2 linked regions of the Saccharomyces cerevisiae S288C genome follow. The protein of the gene in region 1 interacts with the protein of each later gene in a pairwise test. Each region holds a gene or a part of one and is shown on either strand. Other genes may lie near its edges.

Evidence for each region.
Region 2: the proteins of ENT3 (region 1) and YOR111W interact in a two-hybrid assay, tested with the Saccharomyces cerevisiae proteins (2 studies listed by BioGRID).

The regions. Positions count from the first base shown.
Region 1 is NC_001142.9:653,929-657,503, reverse strand, and holds ENT3 (Ent3p), read left to right. Parts: upstream 1-1,540; coding exon 1,541-2,767; downstream 2,768-3,575. Other genes in the region: VPS70 (putative zinc metalloprotease), read left to right, coding at 1-1,250; YJR124C (uncharacterized protein), read left to right, coding at 3,266-3,575. UniProt on the Saccharomyces cerevisiae protein: Involved in the recruitment of clathrin to the Golgi network and endosomes to form clathrin coated vesicles. Plays a role in the trafficking of clathrin between the Golgi network and endosomes.
Region 2 is NC_001147.6:528,457-531,666, forward strand, and holds YOR111W (nucleotide diphosphatase), read left to right. Parts: upstream 1-1,972; coding exon 1,973-2,671; downstream 2,672-3,210. Other genes in the region: phosphatidylinositol-3-/phosphoinositide 5-phosphatase INP53, read left to right, coding at 1-145; transcription factor TFIIIC subunit TFC7, read left to right, coding at 485-1,792; COPI-interacting protein CEX1, read left to right, coding at 3,052-3,210. UniProt on the Saccharomyces cerevisiae protein: Nucleoside triphosphate pyrophosphatase that hydrolyzes dTTP and UTP. Can also hydrolyze the modified nucleotides 5-methyl-UTP (m(5)UTP) and pseudo-UTP. Has weak activity with CTP.

The sequences.
Region 1 (3,575 bases):
AAGATTTTGGATCATTCACTGGACCTTCAAGCTCTATCGATAAAGTCCATTTGCATAATGAGCTAACTTACAACATCAAGGAAATGAGTAGTGTAGAGGTTAGTATCCCTGGTATATTCACTGAGGGGGAGATTATTATCGGAGCTCATAGGGATTCGCTCGCCTCGAGTAGCGCCGGTGATGCAAATAGTGGCAGCGCTATTCTTTTAGAAATTGCACGAGGAATGAGTAAATTACTTAAGCATGGTTGGAAGCCACTGCGTCCTATCAAACTAATAAGTTGGGATGGTGAACGATCCGGCCTTCTGGGATCTACAGATTATGCAGAAGCTCATGCTGCGATTCTCAGGAGAAGGGCCTTGGTATACCTAAATCTAGATAATGCAATCTCTGGGACAAATTTTCACTGTAAAGCCAACCCACTTTTACAAGACGTGATATACGAAGCTGCTAAGCTCACGGAATTTAATGGGCACGAAGACTGGTCATTGTTCGACCATTGGAAATACACTTCTAATGCCACTATTTCTCTACTTGATGGGTTGTCTAGTTACACTTCATTTCAGTACCATCTTGGAGTGCCCGCTGCACATTTTCAGTTTAATGCCAATGATACTTCAGGCGCAGTCTATCATAGTAACTCCGTATTCGATAGCCCAACTTGGTTGGAAAAATTTACCAATTCTGACTACAAGTTACACAACACCATGGCCATGTTTGTAGGTTTGACAACGCTGATGCTGAGTGAAAACGAACTGGCAAGATTCAATACACATGTTTACCTGAAGAAAATATATAACTGGTATATCGCATGGCACTCTAATCTATCTTCAGCATTTCCCCAGGACGATGAAGTGAACAGCTTAGCAAAAAGGGTTCTGGACTTATTAAAAGTTGCCACACAGGAAGATAGCATCCAATTTGACCAACAAAATGGTATTCTCTATAAAGAGTGTAGGGAAGCTTTACCTGTTTGGGCTTTTTACAAAAAAATCAAGAGCTATATTAAACTGCAACGATCCAATAGCAAATCAAAGCAAATTGATCAATTATTTATTACACACAGAGGACTGAAAGACAGGGAATGGATGAAGTACTCTCTTTTAGCACCTAGTAAGTTTGAGGGATCTGTCGGGGAAGTTTTGCCCGGCCTTCACGAAGGATTGGCTGATATTGATAGAAACGAGGTCATTCAGTGGTTAACCATTTTGCTAAGCCAATTCAGCAACGTTCGCTATTTACTTCAATAAGCATTTAAGTACCTCACCTCAGTATATACATTTATTTTATTTGCATACGTAGAGTGACTTTGAATAATAACCATGAGAGGCTTTTTTGTATATACTCTATAAACATGGCTTCAATTTCTTATACATGTCACACCGTACGTTGTGCGAGGTGATTAGGAAAAGTAAAAGGGGACTAGAAGAATCATGAAATGATTTGTAGATACAGTTATTTGAGGAAAGCAAAAATTACCAATTCAGGAAGGTGTAGGGACGTCGATAGGAGATCACATCGTTAATTAGTGTTAGGAAGAATGAGTTTAGAGGATACATTAGCCAACATGTCATTATATGACGCCAAGAAATATTTTCGTAAAGCTCAAAATGTTGTTTTCAATTATACTGAGATGGAGGGGAAAGTTCGTGAAGCGACAAACAACGAGCCTTGGGGTGCCTCATCCACTTTAATGGACCAGATTTCTCAAGGAACTTACAATTTCAGGGAAAGAGAAGAAATTTTGTCCATGATATTCAGAAGGTTCACTGAAAAGGCAGGTAGTGAGTGGAGGCAAATTTATAAAGCCTTGCAATTGCTCGATTACCTTATCAAACACGGTTCTGAAAGGTTTATCGATGATACAAGGAATAGCATTAACTTAATTAGGATTTTAGAAACTTTTCACTATATTGATTCCCAGGGAAGAGATCAAGGAATTAATGTCAGAACTAGGGTCAAAGCTTTGATTGAATTATTGAGCGACGATAATAAGATACGCGCAGAAAGAAAAAAGGCAAGAGAAACGGCAAAGAAGTACAAGGGCGTTGCTGGAGGATCTGCCTCTGCTGATGGCAGTTTGAATTCGAAGGCAGGTTTCACGTCAACGAAAGTGCACGGCATTAGCGTGAGTGCTGATTTCGATAGTGACAATGAAGATAACGAAGATGGTTCTTTTAGTCAAAATGGATATAACGATAATGCCTCGAGAGCCACATCTACTCCTGGGCAAGGAAAACAAGAACCAGAGGACTTTGTTGACTTTTTTTCTAGTGAGTCTTCAAAACCATCTAAAGAACTCATACAAGAAGATGAAAAGAAGGCGGACGAAGAAGAGGACGATGATGACGAGTTTTCAGAATTTCAAAGCGCCGTCCCTGTTACCAACCCTGCTAATTCGTTTAACTTGCTAAACACGAGCCCAATTGAGGGTATGCCCGCCACCACGAGTTCAATGCCTTTTTATAACAGCTCCACTACCGACCAAGGCAAGATTACCCCAGCTATTGCGGAACCTAAAAAAGTAGATCCTTTTAGCTCTCTCTTTTCAACTGCAAAGGCATCTGCAGAAGCACCTAGTGCTCCTAAAGCATCCCAAGCGAAAGCCGCTGCCTCTAATCCTGTATCTAATAGCACAACTGCACTAAGTACAGATCAAGATGATGATGACGAATTTGGTGAAATGCATGGTGGAGCTGTTCAACAAGAACAGAATACCAATAATAACCATACATCATCCAAAGAAATCGATTTACTTTCCTTTTGAGTGATATTATTGGTTTACACAATATGTAAATGTTTTATAACAATAGAAAGTACTTTGTAACAGGTATTACGAACATTACTATCTAATCTCCACTGTATTTCTCCTTTATATGTTTGTCTTGATTTCGTGAAATAGTTTGTGAACATTTTTTTGATCTTTTTTTCGTAAAGAAGGGCCCTTTTCAAATTTATTTACATTTTGGTCATTTGAAAATACTTTACTTAAAAAGACGAGGAAGAAACTGTAAATCCATAGTTCGAGAGTTGAAGTGCCCTTCAAAACAAAAACTCCTGACTTTTTTTGCTCATTTTTAGTCAATGAACTAAAACTCACCTTCCTTCTCGTTTATTTTTGCCTAGCATTATAGAGCAATTATAACTATATATTAAAGTTGACGCACCGAAAAAAAAGGCACGAAAGAAAACTCTACTAATTTTTCACATCTCGAAAAAGCTCATTGCAGAAGGATTTACCAATATTTCTAAAGTTAACGTAACCATGGCACCGGAAATTTTTGTTAAATTCAAGTGTGCAAGTAGAGACATAAAGCTACTATGGGCGTCCGTCTTTCTTAGACTTCTATCATATGGTTTAACAAATCAAGTTTTGACGCTTTTTTTAAATGCCATCAATATGACAGAGGATAAAATTGGGCTGTTTATGTCATTAACACTGGCAGGGGATGTAATTTGCTCTTACATTCTTACTTGGTATGCGGATTCCTGGGGCCGAAGAAGAGTCCTAGTTTATGGTTGTGCAATGATGTTGTTAAGTGGGTTGGTTTTCAGTTTTAGCGAAAATTTCACCC
Region 2 (3,210 bases), on another chromosome or scaffold:
GACACCTACAGCATTTGCAGCATCAAGAGACGTCAATGGGCAGCCCGAAGCTTTGCTAGGTGATGAAAATCCAATTGAGCCAGAGGAAAAGGCCAAACTAAACCATATGACTTTAGACTCATGGCAGCCATTGACCCCAAAATGAGAATATGTTATCTTTGAAGTGTGGTTGTTGTTCCGTTTGTATCCCTTTAAATGAACGAAGAGAAACAAGGGGGCTAACCTGGCCAGGTTGTTTTATGTGATTTTATTTAGATAAATATTTATATAAATATTCAGTGAGAGAAAAGGAGTGCGTTAATAAGGCGCGCCGGGTTTAAAGCTGAAAAATAGGACACATTAATATATATACGTTAAATATTGGTGAATACTTATGGGCAAGGTGGAAGAGAATCTCTACTATCCATAAATCCTCAGTAGGCTTTCCCCTAATTACCTTCATTTTTCTACCTCAATAACATATTACTCCTTTTCAATACATTTTATGGTGGTGAACACGATATATATCGCAAGGCATGGATACAGATCCAACTGGCTTCCGGAGGGTCCATATCCTGACCCACTTACAGGAATTGATAGCGATGTTCCTTTAGCAGAACACGGAGTCCAGCAAGCCAAAGAGTTGGCCCATTACCTTTTGTCCTTGGATAATCAACCAGAGGCCGCCTTCGCTTCTCCATTTTATAGATGTCTTGAGACTGTACAACCGATAGCTAAGCTGTTAGAAATACCTGTTTATCTAGAAAGGGGTATCGGGGAATGGTATAGACCTGATAGAAAACCTGTTATTCCAGTACCTGCTGGATATGAGATACTAAGCAAATTTTTTCCAGGTGTCATTAGCCAAGAATGGGACTCTACATTAACACCAAATGAAAAGGGTGAGACAGAACAGGAGATGTATATGAGATTCAAAAAATTTTGGCCCTTATTTATTGAACGTGTAGAAAAGGAATATCCAAATGTTGAGTGCATACTGTTGGTCACACACGCTGCATCTAAGATTGCCCTTGGAATGAGCTTGCTGGGATACGATAATCCTCGGATGTCTTTGAATGAAAATGGTGATAAAATAAGAAGTGGTAGTTGCTCATTAGACAAATACGAAATTCTTAAAAAAAGCTACGATACTATAGATGAAACTGATGATCAAACATCCTTTACCTATATACCATTTAGTGACAGAAAATGGGTTTTAACGATGAATGGGAATACCGAGTTTTTGAGTAGTGGTGAAGAAATGAATTGGAATTTTGATTGTGTGGCAGAAGCTGGTTCAGATGCTGATATCAAAAAGAGACAAATGACAAAAAAAACCAGCTCACCAATACCAGAAGCAGATGATCAAACGGAAGTAGAAACCGTTTATATCAGTGTTGATATTCCCAGCGGCAATTACAAAGAGAGGACCGAGATAGCAAAGAGCGCAATTTTACAATATTCCGGTTTAGAAACAGATGCTCCGTTGTTTAGAATCGGAAATAGATTGTATGAGGGAAGCTGGGAGAGACTTGTTGGCACGGAGCTTGCTTTCCCAAATGCTGCACATGTACATAAAAAGACAGCCGGTCTACTATCACCGACTGAAGAGAATGAAACAACAAATGCTGGTCAAAGTAAAGGCTCATCGACTGCCAACGACCCAAACATACAAATACAAGAAGAAGACGTTGGACTACCGGATTCAACTAACACAAGTAGAGATCACACGGGAGATAAAGAAGAGGTTCAATCAGAAAAGATTTATAGAATAAAAGAGAGGATAGTGCTAAGCAATGTCCGCCCTATGTAATATGTATTTTGTAGCAGCAGCAACCTTATTTAAAGAACACAGGTGCATCTGCTTGTTTATTACCTTTCGTGTATTTTACCAGACGAAAAGCGTGAAGAGACGTAAGGGCAAAATAACCCAGTTGAACACAAGAAAGGAACATCTGACCGCATCAAAAAAAGAGCACATTCACCAAACGTAATGTCTGGAAATAGTCAACTGCCACCCGACGTAATCGGGTTTATATGTTCTAAGTATGATATCATTTTGGCCAGCACCTCTCCACGGAGGTATGAAATTTTACACGATATAATGGGAATCACCGATTTAAAAACAATGGTTTCTACTTTTGAAGAGAATCTTGATAAAATGAATTATTCTACCGATCCGATTGGATATGTGTGCGATACTAGCTGGCATAAAGCGCAGAATATAATCGAGATTTTGACAGATTACGAAGATGAAAACCCAAATGAAATTGATAAACCTAAGCTTATCATATGTGCAGACACAATTATTATAGATAAGAGTGGGAGAATCTACGAGAAGCCTAAAACAAAAGAGGTCCAAAAGAAGTTTTTAATGAAGTTTTGCTATGAAGATGATGAACCAGTTAACGTTGTCACCGCTGTGACTTTAATTAAATGGTACGGCAGAGAAAACTTTGAATTGGTACCATTCCGAGATGAAACCAAGGTATACTTTGATAACAAAATACCTTTGAGAATATTGGAAGAATATGTAGAAAGCGGAGATGGGCTGGAGGTTGGCGGTGGATTTAAAATACAAGGGCAAGGTGCTATTCTAATTGAAAAAATTGAAGGTGATTACTATAACGTAGTTGGTTTACCGCTCAATAAAACGTTCAAAGGACTCTATGCTGAGGCTAATTCCATATAACCTTCGTTTAGGTTTTCTTTGGTGTTGCTCAGTTAACTATGTTAATCTTTGCAACACCAGAAGAATGAGTGGAACGGATATTAAAGGCCACATTGGTGAATAGATACATGCGCTAAATAACACGGCTATTAACATTCTACGAGACAGTTTTTCGATTGATGGTAAAGAAAGTTTAAAGCAATACGCATTTTGAATTTCACGCTTTCGCGCACATCTTCTATTTTTTTCACCTTCAAAAAGGCCCTTTCTCTTTGTCTGTTTATATTATGATTATATTAAATATAAGTATCTTAAAAACAATAATATCGTCAAGTTATTTAGTCGAGAGTTTGACACTGTTACTATCGTTGCTTTTATTGGTGAACAAGTATCTGTAAGTGATGAATTTTTCCAGCATTTTCAAATCTATTTCGAATTTCCAGTTCCCATACACCATAGAGGAAACTGCAATCACTGAAACCGCCCTTTGGCAATGTTTCGATGGTACAAGGAAGGCAGATTCCTTGCCAGTAACAGTTTTTAAGGCAAAAAGATCTCCA